Canis lupus familiaris: one gene and its partner. The protein of the gene in region 2 interacts with the protein of the main gene of each other region in a biochemical or structural test. Links are inferred from orthologs where the notes say so. Each region holds a gene or a part of one and is shown on either strand. Other genes may lie near its edges. The genes, in order: CCK and CCKBR.

Evidence for each region.
Region 1: the proteins of CCKBR (region 2) and CCK form a complex in vitro, tested with the Homo sapiens proteins (3 studies listed by BioGRID). The link is inferred for Canis lupus familiaris from reciprocal best matches to the Homo sapiens genes CCKBR and CCK.

The regions. Positions count from the first base shown.
Region 1 is NC_049244.1:11,648,183-11,656,245, forward strand, and holds the end of CCK (cholecystokinins), read right to left. Parts: 5' UTR 7,946-8,063; intron 6,864-7,945; 5' UTR 6,862-6,863; coding exon 6,651-6,861; intron 2,722-6,650; coding exon 2,588-2,721; 3' UTR 2,311-2,587; downstream 1-2,310. UniProt on the Homo sapiens protein: This peptide hormone induces gall bladder contraction and the release of pancreatic enzymes in the gut. Its function in the brain is not clear.
Region 2 is NC_049242.1:30,099,915-30,108,805, reverse strand, and holds the start of CCKBR (gastrin/cholecystokinin type B receptor), read right to left. Parts: upstream 5,270-8,891; coding exon 5,119-5,269; intron 4,166-5,118; exon of another isoform or gene 4,053-4,165; intron 718-4,052; exon of another isoform or gene 643-717; coding exon of another isoform or gene 630-642; intron 1-629. UniProt on the Homo sapiens protein: Receptor for gastrin and cholecystokinin. The CCK-B receptors occur throughout the central nervous system where they modulate anxiety, analgesia, arousal, and neuroleptic activity.

The DNA of each region.
Region 1 (8,063 bases), on a different chromosome or scaffold from region 2:
TCTTTTCCTTCCCCTTTCCTGCATTAGGAAAAACTGTGAGACTTTGAAATGAGTGAAGGGGACTAGTGGGTGTCCTCTCAGTGGGACTCCAGGTAGTGATCAGATGCTGTTGAAGGTCTGTGTTTCCGACTGGGCTACTTTGTAAGCCACAGAAAACTGACAGTCCTGCAAATACTTCTTGTCTATAGAAATGTAAGCGAATATTGTCCCCCCAAAATACAACTTATTTCTGCCCTGGATAGCAGATTATTCTGCACATGCCATTTTATTGGCCTAACTATACAACCCAGTTTTGTGTCCATCAGGATATTCATTTCAGTACTATTTTTTTAAAGATTTTATGTATTTATCCATGAGAGACACAGATAGAGGCAGAAACATTGGCAGACGGAGAAGTAGGCTCCCTGGGGGAGCTTGATTTGGGACTTGATTCCAGGACCCTGGGATTACGACCTGAGCCGAAGGTAGACACTCAACCAGTGAGCCAACCAGGTGCCCCATCATTTCAGCATTCTTGACTGCCTCTATGTGTCTGTCCTTTAGATTCTCCTTTGAAATGATAGGACATCTTACTGGTCCTTTATTAATGAGTAAAATAACATCTTTGATATATGTTCATTTATATTTGTATGATTCCCATCTTTATTTCTGAAAATGATACTTTACCATCTACTTCTCTGATGACTTATAAATTATTAATTCAGATCAGACCTCTCTCACCCAGTCCCCACTGCTAACTTAATATTAAATTCTAAGTCTTTCACCAGCCTTCACCCCAACACACACACACACACACACACACACACACACACACACACAACACACACAGGTCATCATCTATACCCAATTACCCTTACCTACCTGGAAAAAAAGGGTTTTTTTTTTGTTTGTTTGTTTGTTTGTTTTGTTTTTTTGTGAGATGTGTGTGTTCTGCACTAAAAACATATGCATCTGAGTATTTGGCCAGGGCTTGGACCCCTGAGATACAAAGCAGAGGCCATATTGTAGGGACTGAATGAGGAAATGACCTCACAAAGGAACAATATAATGTGTTGTCTATTCAGAGTCTAAGTTTTGCACTGAATGCTAACTTCAAGTTAAAGAATTGTAAAGTCCTCAGAGAAAGAGGACTGGTGTCATTTTTCTACCACCAAGGGAGATGGCACTATGTGCCTGCAGGGTAGCCCTGGACTGAGAACGAACCATCTGGGACCAGTTATAGATTCGCCAGCATTCTTTCCAATGTCTTTTCCTTTGGGGCTGCATGCCCTGCTGCATCAGGCCACATGGGGCCTTTGCTGTATAGGAACCTGAGGTTCCTGAAAGCCTTGGCTAAGAGGCATAGAAGGACTGTACCTTGGGTAGCTGGTGTCAGATTATCTCTGGGTGTCCCCTTGAAATAATTTCTTTTCTGGACCCCTACAGAGACCCAATGGAGGGATTGGCCCAAGAAAGGAGAGTTTCTGCTTCAGGTAGCTACTAGAATCACCCAACATGCTATGAAATATGTCTCTGAAATATGGTTAGACCCAGGGGATTGTAATCACAGGCTCCTCCCTAGACCACTGCCACCCCAAGTGTGGTCCAGGACCCACCACACTGGTTTCACCTGGGAGCTTGCTCAGGCCCAAGGCCAGACTTGTTGAGTCAGAATGTGTGAGTTATAAGATTCCCTGGTGATTCACATGTACTCCAGAGTCTGGAAGGGCTCGGGTGATGGAGGTCATGCTACTGGGAGCAATCAAGTCTGTGAATCTCATTAGCTGGGGAACTGTGGGCCAGTCACTTTTACCTCTTGGGACCTGTTTCCTCATCTGTAAAAGGACAATAACCTCGGTGCCACAGGGCCATGGAGAGATCCAAGGGATGTGAAAGCACTGACTAGCATTTGCCCCATAATTTGTTTAAAGGCCAAGAGAATCCCAAAGAAGTCCTGGTGAGGGATGGGGTTACTACATCCTACAGGGATGGGCAGGTGGGAGGCTCCAACCCAAGCTGCATCTCTGGTCTTTACCCAGACAAATGAGTGCTCAGTGCAAGCAGGGCATGTTTTCTTTTTGCAGTGAAGCCCAGCAGGGGCCCCACACCCAGGGTGGCCAGAGCTGGGCCATGGAACTGACCCAGAAGGTCCTTTTACTGGCCATTTTGCCTGGCAGTAGAGAAGTTAACCTCATGTCCAACCCTCATCTCTCGAGCCCTTTCTGGGACCATCTATGCCAGGGGTTTGTCCTTGGGTATTATCTCAGGCTTTCCTCCTTGAAGGTCCTGTGGATTATATGGAACCCTTTGCGCTCGATAGACACAGCGGACTAGGGAGCAGAATGAAATTATTTTAATAGCATAGCAACACTTTAGGACCACGCATCACAGACGAGGAAAATGTTTTGCTTTCCATTTGTACAATTCTGGTGAGGTGTGAGGTTGCACTGGACAATCTTACAGACATTTTTCACATTGAAAACTTAATAAATAGATAATGAAAATGTCAAACTTCAGAGACAATGACTTATGAGTGTGATTGTTTTCTTTTTCTGCCTCTTCTGAGCCAGGCGGTTGCTTCCTGGTGTGCCGACAAAGGCAGGGTCCCTTAGGAGGGGTATTCATACTCCTCAGCACTACGCCGGCCAAAATCCATCCAGCCCATGTAGTCCCGGTCGCTTATCCTGTGACTGGGGTCCAGGTTCTGCAGGTTCTTAATGACGGACATTCGGCCAGAAGGAGCTACAAGGGGCAGGGGCAAAGGAAGCAGGGCCATTACATCTAAGAGCATCACTATTTCAATCTGTAAAGGAGAACAATGGGAAAAGCCAGACAATACAAAAGCTCCTCCTTAAAGGTATCAAAGAGCTGTTCCAACAGTGGGATGGATTACTAGACCAAAATCTAAGAGAAGGACCCAAGTCTGTGTCACTAGAGAGAGTAGTATTTACTAGCCATGGGTATGGCTTCCAATCTATAAGGATTTAAGTGAATCCACAGATTTGTGGCCTTCCACAGCTTAGATATGCCTTAGTTTTCCTACTCCTTGGGGTGTTTCCACCGTGGTAGCTGGCCCTCAGTAGATGCCAAGCAAGGGTTTCCTTGGTACTTACCCATTTCTGGAATTTGCCCCTTGATATCCCGAGCATACCTGACTATTGTTAAGGTGACGCAGTTACAATATTTTGGTTTTTTTTTTAGTTACAATATTTTGATGTTAGAATGGTTTAAAAAATAGAGTCAAGTTCCACTGCTAGACAAATACTGTGTACAAATTAATTTGAAACTACCTTCTTTTTCAAAATGATAATGAGAGTAAGACACACTGTCAGATTAAAATCTTACGTCAGTGGCATTCAAAGAAGAGTGGGCAGAGAGGTAATAAGGAGGTTAATTCATCCCTTTTGACCAAAATGCAATAACTGAATGAAAAATGGACCTTCAGGAGTTAAGTCGTCAGGAACAGGATGATTCTCACGTGTAATTCACATTGAGCGAACAGGGACATGAAGAAGCAGTTTCTTTGGAGACATATGACACAGTCCTAGCCCACAGATCACAGACAGTGACCTTCTGGATGTGAAATCAGTATAATGCCTTCTTTTGTGCAAGCTAAGAGGCAAGAAATGTCCCTCAGGGACCTCAAAGGGGGAAAGCCCAGGGGACTTTAAGAGCAGAGTGATGGAGGACTGCTCCATGGTTCCTATCGTATGAGGGCCCCTGTGACCCCACTGCTCTGGATGCTGGCATCGAACCCTCCTGTATGAGACTGCCCTTGCCAGCTCCTGCCCACAGGCTGCAAGGAGTCAGACTATGACTTATTTATTGATAAATGACCTTGCAGGAGCAGTTTCTCTGTCTTATTGGATAACCAAGTGAAGCTAGCTAAATTAAAAACCAGAAACAATTATACAGAGTAATGTCCCCACCCATTCTTCTCCTGACATCCCCACCTCAATCCCTTCCCAGCCTTGGGATCAAAAGTCAATCCAGACATTCCTGCCTCTTTGCAGGTATCTCCAGCTATGCAAAAGGAAAACAGACCTGGCTGTTTCATTGTTCAACATTTTTCAGGTGAAATACTAGTCTTTGCATTCAAAAAAACCTTGCATATCCAGTTATTTGTACCCAGTTATAGAAATGTAGCCCATTCTTCTGCCTGGTGATGATGAATGCCACCATGAAGGGCTGGGCATAGCCCCAAGTTCCAGTTAATGAAGGCAAAGCGGCAGCTTCGAGGTGCATAAGCAGCCTAGGTTTGTTGGGCTTGGGTGGGGGAGGGGGGTGGTGCAGGAATCACATTCAGCCCTGGTAGCTGTGCTGGTTTCACACCTCAATCCCTCCATTCCACACACAGTTCTGTGCTCACAGTGTGTGCATTTACCTGGGTCCTCACTCGCTTCTCCAGTGTGACACAAAGTAGGAACTACACCTGGTTTACAGAATTGAATTGAAGGTCCTGCCTCCTTTAAACTTTAAAACCCCCCGAATGGGCAGTACAGCTGGGAAGATGACTGGCTTCCAGTCCCGCTGGGGAGGGCAGGGCTTGAACAGAGTGTCAGGTGTGCAAAGTCATGTAGGTTATATATTCTCCCAGAGCCTAATGGAACTTACTAACCAGGGCTTCAGCGAGGAGTAACAGACAGTACAGATGTTACAGATGTAGCATTAGAGCTTTGTTGGGCATGGGGCAGGTGTATGCTAGATGTCCCCTGCCCCCAATAGAATCGCTTCTCAATCACTGAAAGCTCTGCAGACAATTAATTTCTAACAATAAACTCTTGAGCACTCCTCGAAGAGTACATTATCGTGTTTAGAATCTGTAAGCATAAGTACTGTAGTTGAGTACATATCCAGTATGATCTCAAAATGTGTAAAATATTCAAGGATAGGTATAAATATTTCTTCCTGGTTCATATTTGTTAAATAGGCGAGTAGGATTATTTTCTGCCTCGTGCCGGTTGTGGGTGTTGGCAGCTGAAGTCCCGAGGGGCTGCCATTCCCGCATGGGCTTGTGTGGTACAGCATTCTAAAGGCAAAGGGAGAAAGTGGCTGAGCAGAGATGCTAGGGACAAACTTCCAGCTAAGATTTGTAGTATAAAGCCACTGCCAAGTGTCAGTTCTGGGGAAGTAGTTTGGCAACTGGCTTGTTTCTCAGACCTGTTTCTCGTGGCTCTTTCCTGATGATGGGGAGGGGGTTCCAGATGACAGCTCAGTGAAAAACCTATGATATTTCGGACTGGTCTGGCTGAAGTTCAACTGACATCCAAGGACAGATATTAAATTACTTTGAGACAGATAATCAATAGGAATTCAAGAAGTTTTCAGACTTTCTCTGTCATCTGACTAATATTTCCAACATCTCTTAATTTAATTTTAGTTAGAAAGCAAAACAGAAGATGGTAGCTGGGACAATTTCCCAAAGAGCGGACAAAATATAACAAATCATCTTAAATCATCTTTTTTTTTTTTTTCTCCTTCTGAATTCCCCTGGTCGAAAAACTTTTGATCTTACCTTCATATGAAACCATCAGAGACTCTGGAAAGCCAAGCCCATCATTTTTTCCTTGTTTAGTCAAGGAAAGCCTCCCTGGCACATGGGACGGTCAGAAAGCCTCATGGGAAAGGGGTCCACCCTCTACCCTTCCCAATAGCATTTTCTGTGGTTTATTGGCTGGCTGCATTGGTCTAGTTTAGCACACCACCCCACAGCCATCCATGTCACAGCGGATCAAGTTGGTTGAAAAAAAAAAAAAAAAACTGTTTCAGTCCCAATCATGATTCCTAAGGAGCCTACAGACAAATGAGCCTCCCTCGGAATCACACAGAATGCTAGAAGGGACCTAGGGAACTCTAGCTTTCTCTGTGCTTTACAGACGAGACAGGCCCAGGAAAGGGACAGGGCTGTCAGTATGTCACCCTGCTAGTGAGCCACCAAATCACCATAATCCTGCAGACAGACATCAATGCTGAGAAACCTGGCTTGCACAGTCCTGCTGCAATTGGGACCACCTCTCTAACAGCAAAATAAAAACAAACAGGTCTCTTGAGTAATCATTTTAAATCACTGCCAAGGAGAACTCAAAACTGCTACTGATTCTTTCCTCCTGTTACATTCTTTGGTGAAAACTGACACATCGTCACTGTTTTTTCCACTGTTGTCAGGACGCAAGAGCTTTCTCAGCATCAATGCCTTCCTGCTAGGGGGTTTCCAAGTGTCACACCTGGGTGGCTCCCGGTTCCTCTGCATTTCCAGTATTGGGTATTTGGTAGATCTGCAAAGTCTTTTAGAGTCAGTAATTTGCTTCATAATTACCTTTTAATATCTTCATAATACAGCGTTGAACTTAAGCAGCAACACGGGCCAACACTAGTTCAAGAAAGCTCTTTTAAAAAGGTTTTCCTTAATTAATTGAATCCACCGCATTCGCTCTCAGTTTTCTACAAAGGAGGCCAGAAAACCGTACTGTCCAGCGCAGTGCAATGGGGGGGGGGGGCGGGCGGGGGGGAGAGGGCGAAAGTGAAGAAACCTTTCGGCTTAAGGCACCGCCTGTTTCCTTCCCAGGGGCTACCCACCTCCATCAGCAGGACGCTGGGGAACAGGGTCAGGATGGGGAGCCGCAGGCGGGGTCAGAGGAATAAGGACCCCGTAGGCGAATGAGCATCCGTACCTTTCCGGGCCTGCTGGATGTACCTGGCCAGCAGGGCGCCCAGGTGCGCGCGGGGCTCGCCGTCCACCTTCTGCACTGCCCTCAGCTGCCTCCGGGGCGCCTCGTCCTCCCGCTGCGCCCCCGGGCCCGCCGGGTCGGCCGGGACGGGCTGCGCCAGGGCGCCCGCCGCCAGTACCGCCAGCAGCACGCACAGGCACACGCCGCCGTTCATGGCTGCGGGACAGCAATGGGACAGGGGACGTGAACGACAAGGCGGGGGCCTCGCGGGCTCTGGCGGAGGCACCGGGGGCTCAGTGCAGGCGCGCGGGGCTCCGGCCGCGCCCGCCGGTGCAAGGCAGGGGCTCGCCAGGCGCCGCGGGGGCACGCGGCGGCCACACCCCGTGGAGTCCCGGGGACCCAGCCTTCCGCCTGGGCTGGCAGAAGAAACGTCTTCTGTTTTCCTTGAGTTTCAGAAAGTGTTGTTAGAGCGCCCGTCTTGTAACTGGAAAAGCAAGAGTTAAAGCTGGGAGAAACCAGACCCCCGGGAGCCAAGAAGCTCTCAGTGGGGGAAAATAAAGGGTGAAGAAGGGAGGAGCGCAGCTTAAAATGCAGGAGCAAGAAATTAAAGCCGTGTTTCTGAAGTTTCTTTAAGGTGCACACGGGAACCGGCAACAAACTACGATGCAAAACCCAAAGGGCTTTTTAGAATCAGAAATAAGCGCTTGGTCTTCCGTCGTTGGCAAAGCGCCGTCGCCTTCGAGATCCACGAGCAGATACGACACCCGCACTTTTCTATCCCCAAAGCCTTGAAATTTCCTGCAATATTTAGAAAGTGAATTTAAATCTTAAAGCCCCTTGGGAGTCTATTTGAGGAGACGGCCGGGTGCACCGCACCTCCGTGTAACATCCAGCAAAGCCCTGGGCGCGGGCTAATTCCTAGCAAATAGCTATCCCGGCGCGGCACGGGCAGGGCACGGGGACGGAGACGGGGCAGGGCACGGGGACGGGCACGGGGACGGGGACGGGGCAGGGCACGGGCAGGGCACGGGGACGGGCACGGGGACGGGGACGGGGACGGGGACGGGCACAGGGACGGGGCAGGGGACGGGCACGGGGACGGGCACGGGGACGGGGACGAAGCCGGCTCGGAAGTCCCCCCGCCGCTCTGCCCGCCCAGCCCCCTCTGCTGTTCTGACTCCGAGACAGGTCTTCCGAGCTGTCTGTCGGGAAGAAGATGCAGAAAACAGGGAAATGCGGTGAAGGGGCACAAGACCGCGGACCGCATTCTCACACCACCTCGAGGGCCGGGGACCTACCTCGTGGGCTAGGAGCGTAGACGCGGCGGTCGGCGGTGGCGCAGCCCGGGAGCGGCGGGGGAGCCGAGCCAGGTGCAGGTGGGCCGGCGGCCGCCCCTTAAATAGGCCCTCCCGGCGC
Region 2 (8,891 bases):
GAGAGAGAGAGACAGAGAACTTCCTGTGCTTTCCATTCATTTTTTTCTGTAAATCTGAAACTACTGTAAAAATAATCTATTAGTGGGTGCCTGGGTGACTCGGTCTGTTAAGCATCTGACTCTTGATTTCAGTTCAGGTCTTGATCTCAGGGTCATGAATTCAAGTCCTGTGGCTCCATGCTAGACATGGAACCTACTTAAGTAAGTAAGTAAATAAATACATAAATAAATAAATATCTATTCGTTTTCTCAAAAGTCACAAAAAAGCAACTGGAATGAAGATTTGTGTGTGTGTTTCTGTCTACGTGTATGCATCCGTGTGCATTTGTATGGTGCAACGGGAGTGATCACAGTGGCTTCAACAACTAGGAACTTTTTTTTTTTTAAATTTATGATAGTCACAGAGAGAGAGAGAGAGAGAGAGAGGCAGAGATACAGGCAGAGGGAGAAGCAGGCTCCATGCACTGGGAGTCCGATGTGGGATTCGATCCCGGGTCTCCAGGATCACGCCCTGGGCCAAAGGCAGGAGCTAAACCACTGCACCACCCAGGGATCCCCAACAACTAGGAACTTAATGTAGGGGTAGAAGAATGGGAGAGGCATTTTTTGAATATGAGTGCCTTGATTACCTGTGGGCATCATCCTGCTGAGCCAGGGAATTCAAAAGACTTTGGCAGTTCATTTCTGCTTCTGGGGTCTAGAGGATCTGCATTTGTTCTGTCCAGATGATGACAGAGAAGTATGAGCACAAAAACCCAGATAATGTGCCATAAAACAAAAATCAGTACTTTATAAGAAATAACACTGAAGCTGCTGATTCCTCAAATCCTACCTTCCACAGGTATACTGGATCCGGTCACTCATGAACACAGATGTCAAGGTAATGCTGTGGTGAGCGTGGATAGCATCCAACTGATTATGGGTAATAGCTGGGAAAATGGGGATATCTGAATGTTAATGGGCACTACCTGAGGGAGCAGGAATAGTATAGAAGGATGTATAGGCAATATCAGAGTGAAAATTGGATAAAACTAGTTTTTGAGATAATATCTGGGTGGGTGAGAGTAATGCTTATTTTTGTGGACAAGGTCTGAGGTGGGTAACAGCTATGTGTCTGTAGGCAATGCCTGATTGAGTGTGGGTTACATGTAGATTTAGATAATATCTGAGCAAGTGCTGTAACATTTGTTCCAATTTTAGTATAGGTGCTGCTGAAGTGAGCAAGAGCAATTGTAACATCTGAGTGAGCAGAGGTAGTATCTGTAGATATGTTTGTGGATAACATCTCATTTTGTAGATAACAGCTTTCAGGAAACATGGATTACATTCAGAGGTCTGAATGTAATTGGGGGAATATCTAAGTGATGATGGTAGTAGCTGAGAAAGCAGAAGTAATATCCAAGTATGTGTGGGCTATGTTTAAGTGGGTATGGACGTGAGATGTTAACATGTTAAGGTGTTAAGTGAGATACTAATATGACTGAGTAAAATAACTGAGTACCTGAGCGAACACAGGTAATATTTGAGTCTTTGTGGAATATCTGAACATATGAGGGTAACATCTATGATTTTATGAGTAATATCTGGAAAAGGTTGCTTAAGTGAGCACGGGCAATATCTATGTGTGGATAATAAAATGAAAGCAAGTGTGTTTGATGGATGACTGACATCTAAATGTCTGTGGGCAATGTTAAAGTAACTGTGGGTGACAGCTGCTGTTCTGTGGATAGCATCCAAGTGAACATTAGCACTCAGGTCTGTGTGGATAACATATAAGACTAATGTGGGTAACATCCACATTTCTACTGGTAACACTGGAGTGAGCCTGGCTAACATGCATCTGTGGGGGTAATATCCGAGTGAGTGGCTAAGGGTCTTCGTGGGTAACTGCCTGGGTAACATACAGTTCTGTGTAGACGACAACATCCAGATGAGGAAGGGCAATTCTTGCACCTGTGCTCTGAATCACTTCATGTTCTGCTTTCTCAGGGTCCCCTGCTCTGATGACTATCCCTGCTCTCTGCTACACCTTCAGCCTCTCTCTCTCGGCCCATTCTTCATCAACATTTTAAAAAGACTCGTGCCTTTACTGTGTACACACACACACACACACACACACACACACACACAAAGACAATTCCCTTACTACACACAACATTCCTCAACTCCGTGCTATTTCTAGACACTATCCTATTTCTTCCAGAAGTCTTGTCTACATACCTGGTTCACTTCTCATAATCCCCTTCCCCACTGTCCCAAACCTCAACCTACTATAAGTCAGGCCTTAACACCCATTACTCCTCCTTGTTAGGACTTCCTCCTTACTGGATCTGAAGGATGCTGTTCTGTCCGTATTGACTTACGTCAGCAGCATTTGACATCATGTATCCCACCCTGCTTGAACTCTTTTCCTTGCCTTCTTATCTCTTTGATGGCTTCGTCATGAACTCTCCTTCCTTTGCCTTTTCATCAATCTCCTGGGCAGCCCGGGTGGCTCAGCGGTTTAGTGCCACCTTTGGCCCAGGGTCTGATCCTGGAGACCTGGGATCAAGTCCCACGTCAGACTCCCTGCATGGAGCCTGCTTCTCCCTCTGCCTGTGTCTCTGCCTCTCTCTCTCTCTCTCTCTCTCTCTCTCTCTCTGTGTCTCTCATGAATAAATAAATAAAATCTTGAAAAAAAATATCAATTTCCTTTGGGGTTCTGCCCCAGGACCTCTTTTCTTTTTATCCTATATAATCTTTGTATGATTTTATCTATTCCCGTGGCTTCCATTAACTCCTGTAGGCAAAGACATTTTAAATCTGTATTTTCAGCTGATACCTCTCCCCTAAGATCCTGACCAGATTCAACAGTTCACTGGTTAACCACACCTGGGCATCTCACCAGCATTTAAACTCAGTGGGTTCCAAGCTGAATTTATAATCTTCTCCTTCAAACTTGTTTCTGTTCCTTTGTTTTCTTCATGATATAGCACCAACATTAATCTATTTGTCCAAGCCAGAGACCTAGATGTCATCCCCTGACCTCTTCCTCCCTCTCCATTTCCAATGAATCACCAAATTCTGTTGATTCCTTCCAGAAGTGCTTCTCAAATCCACCCACTTCTCTCCATCCCCACTGTGAATACCTTAGTCTAAGCCCCCATCATCTTTCACCAGAGTAATATAGTAGCCTTCTAAAGTGTCCCCCCAGCCCCCACTTTCATTTTTTAAAAAGATTTTTATTAATTTATTCATGAGAGACAGAGAAAGAGAGGCAGAGACACAGGCAGAGAGAGGCAGGCTCCATGCAGGGAGTCCGATACAGGATTCGATCCTAGGACTCCAGGATCACGCCCTGGGTTGAAGGCAGGCGATTAACCACTGAGCCACCCAGGCGTCCCAAGCCCCCACCTTTCCTATCTTGTACTCCAGTCCATCCTCTACACTATAGAACTAATCCTGGCTGTACTGTGGAGCCTTTCAGTAGTTGCCATTACCCTCATAATAAAAAATCCACACTCCTGGGGTACCTTGGCAACTCAGTGGGTTAAGTATCTGCTTTCAGTTCAGGTCATGATCCCAGGGTCTTGGGATTGAGCCCCAGGTTGGTAGCACTGGCTCCCTACTCAGAGGGGAGTCTGCTTCTCCCTCTCCCTTTGCTCCTCCCCCTGGCTCGTGCTCATTCTCTCAAATAAATAAATAAAATCTTTAAAAAAAAATCCCCACTCCTTAGCCTGGTCTATGAGGCTCTTCATAAACCCTCTAGACCATAAACTCTGGTCTTCATCCCGAGTGCTCATTTTCCCTCTCTTATACTGTATGTTTCAGGCACTCAGAAACTGACACAGCGAACGAAAGTGCCATAGATTTAAACTTTGGGCACTTAATCATATTGTTCCTCGGCTTAGAATGCTGGTTTTTTATTTATTTTATTTTATTTTATTTTATTTTATTTTATTTTATTTTATGCCATTCCTGCCCCTTCACTTGTTTGGCTTTCCTTCATCTTTTTAATTTTTATTCAGTTACTTCTCAGGAGGCTGACTTCAAGACCGAGCTCCCAGGTTCACCTCGTCTATGAAGTTCTTGGTTTCCATCTCCTTTGGATGCCCACAATTCAGACCCTCTCCTGGGACTTCTCACGTTGTTATTTTCTCACTGGTTTGTCTCCCTTTGCACTTGACTGTGGACAGAAGAGGGTCTAGACTGGGTCTGTTTCATCCCTATGTCCCCAGCACTTGCTCAACTACAACAGCAGGTGTTCAGGAGACATTTAAGGAAAGAAAAGGTTTAGGAAGGGAAAACATATATTGTGAGCTGGGTTATCAACAAAATGCGGCTGTTGGCCCGTGGGAGGAGTGAAAGTCATTTTGGGGACTGAGTAAGTGGAACCACTGGGGGTGGGGAAGAGATGGTGGCACAATGGATAGGAGATGAAGGGCCAAGCCAGGCTGTAAGAAGATGAGACCTAAAGAGAGGCAGGTTGGAGAGGGGCCTTGGAAGGGCCTGGGAGACAGAAGAGAGAGGGGACAGAGTCTTGATTAGAATTCCACCTTGGGAGGCTGGAGGATTTGAGGAGTGAAATGGAGACAGGCAGCTCTAGGGAGCAGCCCCCCATGTCCAGCCTAACTCAGGTTTGAGGCTCTCTTCTGGTGAGGCTGGGGGTTGGGGTGGGGGACACAGGAGATTATAACTGACTTCCCATTTAAGCCTTCCAGAGTGCTCCCTCCCTCCTCCAACCCTCTTCTTTCCCCAGTCTTGCCTTCTTTTCTTTTCTTTCCTTCCCCATTGTGGCTCTGTGAACTGGATTTAAAAGGAAGAGAGACCTGGAGGGAAGAGGAGGTCCTTGCCCCCTGACCGTCTGTGCCTAGAAGGGGGCTCTGTGTTGGGTGCGGCCGGGAGCCCCGGGTGTGAGGGGGCTCCCATCAGGTGGTGTGAAGCTGTGATGGAGTTTTTAATGAGCTGGGGAGGGCACGGGCGGGGGGGTGGGGGGGGGCAGAAGTGTCGGGGGGGCTGTTTGGGGACCGAGGGAGTACTGAGGGGATGGTGTAGGCGTCCGGGGAGGCAGTGGGGGCCTCTACCGGTGTGGGGTGCAGCGAGAAGGAGCTGGCGGAGGGGGTTTAGGGGGGCACCCACCTCGTGTCCCGGCTCCGCGGAGGCGAGGCGGCTCGCAGCTGAGATTGCCCGCACCGCTGCTGTTGAGGAGGGCGCCCCCCGCGCGGCACAGGGAAGCCCCCGGCCCGGCTCCGGACCCCTGCGCGCTCCGGTTCAGCTTTAGCAGCTCCATGGCCCCGGCCCAGCCACCGCCTCCCTCCGCTCGGCCGGGCGGGCTCCCGCTGCGGCTCCACCTGCTCGCGCCGCGGCTCGGGCGGAGGCTCCCGCCCCGCCTGGTCCCCGCCCCCAGCCCTGGCCCCTGCCCCGCCGCTCCTCCTCTGCGCGCCCCGCCTAGGCTCGCCTCCCCGCCGGGCTCGGCCGCCGCGGTCCCGCCAGGTGACTCCCCGCCCCCCTCCCACGCTCGGGACTCGCGCTCCCCGCCCCCCGATGGCCTTCAGGCTCGCCCCCTCCCCGGGCTCCCCGGTTTTCTCCTAGAGATTTCCTTCCCGCCCACTCCCCTTCGCCACCGTCCCTCGGTGGAATTCTTGGGAGTGTGCGTGTGTGTGCGTGTGTGTGCGTGTGTGTGCGTGCGTGTGTGTGTGCGCGCGTGTATGGGCGAGGGTAGCGGTGGGGGTTACGGGTGGATGGAGGGGTGGCGGAGAGGGAGGTGCGGGGGGGGGAGAGGGTAAGAGGAGTTAGGGCGCGGCTGCCGTGGGATCCGGCATTTCCCCCTGGTGGGTCAGGGGACGTGGAGGTGGCACTTAACACGGTGGCATCAGCCGCGGGTTACTGTCCTGTGCCGCAGTGGCCCCAGTGACCGTGACACTATCGCTCTCATAGTTCCCTGAATCTCTTCGCAAGGGGCTGGGGCGGCCCCTGCATCTGCCCCTGCATCTGCCCCCACACCCTCCGCCTCCTATCTTGGGGCGCAACACCCAGGCTCCCAAGGAACCCTCCGCCCCGGGGCAAGGACGCCGGCGGGGCGGGGTGTGTGCGGGGGTGTTGGCGGGCAGCACTTGTCCTCGGGCAATCTTGGCTCGCAAAAAGGCTGCGCGGAGGAAGAGTCTGACTTGGGGGTCAGGGCCGCCTGGGTAGCAGTGAGAACAGCTTAGAATGAACGGGGGAGGGGGGGCGCTGATGGTGGGGCTTGGTTCCAATCCCGGCCCAGCCCTGGGCACAAGAGGAAAGGGGGCGGCTGGCTCTCATGGTCTCCAGGCAGCGCCCACCCTCGCCCACCCTCACCGACACACTGGCCCTCCCTGTTTGCTCCCAGTGCAGGTGGAGCAGCCATGGGGGGGAGGGTCAGGTTCCCAGGAGAGGGGACCGGAAAGGGGCCAGATCCCTGGGATGCAGCGGGAGCAAAGCTTAAGGGGACAAACACAAGCCTGAGGTGGTGGGCTCAGTTCCTCTGGCAGGACCTGCCTCCACTATATTTCAGCCGTGCTGGCCCTCCATTCTTCATTCCAAGGAAACTCCAATATGACCTTGAAATTCCACTCATGGGCTCCCAGCAGTATCTGTTGGAGGTGGGGGCACCGGTCAAAGAGCAGATTAGACTGTGGATGAGGTCTGAGTTTCTGGGGAATTCAGAGAGCCCTATCCAGTCTATATTTTGGAGAGGACCTGTTCCAGCTAGCACGGAGTTTATAAGGAGGATTTAAGCCTGAGGCGGGTGGGGATGTTGTCACCTGTCTCCCCCCCACTCCCCTCCTCCTGGCACTGGTTGCCTTCCCCATCAGAGTGCCCTGGACCAGAAGAGCCTGATTTGCTGTTTGTTCAGCTCCAGCACAGGTGGCACCTCAGATAACCTGCTGGACTTTTCCCACATTGGATGACGGCAGGGTGTGGGGGCGGGGAGTAAAGGAAATGTAGGAGGGAGAGAGGAGTGGAAATAGGAGGAGATGGGCATTCACTTATTCAGCAAAGCATGTGCCAACTATAGGGCTGTTTACTAGCTGTCTCTTACATTCTGTGCCCGAGTAGCTCCAGCTCTCCTGGGGAGAAAGTGACAGGTAAGCCAACCATTATGACATATGGTTGGATGTACATCTGCGAAGATGCACCAGTCAGAAATTTAGGAATCAGCCTGGCTGCCTTACTCCCTTATGCTCCACCGGAGCAGAGGCTATGACAAAAAGCCCAGACTCCTCTCCAAATGTGAGGGATTTTATTCTGCAGCTGCAGAGAGTGCTTCGGGAAGTCAGCTTGCACCTTCCAGCCCCTGTGGGAGTTGGCTGAGCCGAGGAAAAGCCTGTTCAGGCGAGGTCATGTTCCCTTCCTGAAGCATCCTGCATCCAGTGACTGCTCAGCTTAGTGCCTCAAGGGTCTGACCTAGGCCATTGTGGGGACTGAGCCACTGCTCCTCTTCTCCCTTCACCCGGTCCTTCTTTCATCCTTGCTCTTGCACAGGTGTTGACTCCAAGAGCACTCCTTAGTAAACATCCTCCACAGTAATCTCTGTCTTAGACTCTGCTTCCTGGGGAACATAACTGCCTCCCTCCCGTAGTCAATCAATCATGAAGTCCTGTTGATTTTAGCCACTGAGTGTTCCTTGAATCCATCTGCTTATATCTGCGCTGACACTATCCCATTGCTTCTTGCACTGCTTTCCTAGCTTCTTCAGTGGTCCACCACATTTACAGATGCCTCCTTACATCCATCCTCCACCTTATAGCCAGAGTGATATGTGCAGAACACAAATCTGATTGTGCCACTCTTCTGACCTTTGCCTTGGGGATAGAGAAAATCTTTTCACAGTCTCTGAAGGCTGTGTGATCTGGCTCCTCTTGACCTCTCTAACCACCTTATTTCAAGTCCCTATGCATCTTGTTCTCTCCCCTGTAGACACACTGGCCTTTCTTGAGTCCATTTTTTTTTGAGTTTATGTCTGCCAGTTATATGACTTTTACACATGGTCTCTAAAAACTTTCCTTCCTTATCTAATTAACTCCTGCTCATCTTTCTCATCTCAGCTCAAGGTATCAGAATTTCTCAGGGATGTTTTTCCTGGCTTCCCCTCCTGTGGTAGGTGGAATTATGAAATGGCACCAAAGGATTTTCACTTTTGTATAATCTTCTTCCCTAGAGTGTGGGTAGAATCTGTAAATATGATGAGATGCTACTTCCATGATTATGTTATATGACAAAAGAGATTTTGCGGATGTAATTAATGTTACTAATCAGTTGACCTCAAGGTAAAGAGATTATCCAAGTCATCCTAGCCAAATCACAAGAATTTACTCTGATATGCAGCAAAAGAGGAGGTCAGAGAGATTTGAAGAAGAATTCACACACTGTTGCTGGTTTGAAAATGGAGGGGGCCACTCTGGCAAGGAATGCAAGGGACTGTGGCTGGCTTGATGAAGGAGCAGGGTGCAGAGCAGGTACCTGAGAGTGGCCTCTAGCTGAGAGCAGCCTCTGGCTGACAGCCAGCCAGAAAATAGGCACTTTAGTCTTACAACCACAGGGAACAAGATTCTGCTAATGACAAAAATGAGCTTAGAAAAGGGTATCCCCCCACCAATCCCTGAGCCTCCAGAAAAGAATTTCATCTGGTTGACACTTTGACTTCAGCCTGGTGATGCCCTGAGCAGAGGATCCTCAGCCATACTCTACCAGACTTCTGGCCCACATGTCTGCAACCTAATGAATGGATGTTGTTTTAAGCTTCCAGATTCATGGTAATTTGCTATAGTCGCAATAGAAAACTAACACATTTGCAAGCGATGCAAGGAAGAAGTGGAAGCACTGGAAATTTGTTAGGATTTAGAAAGACTTGGAGTAACTGCTATGGCAGCTGAGATGGAGGGCACCAT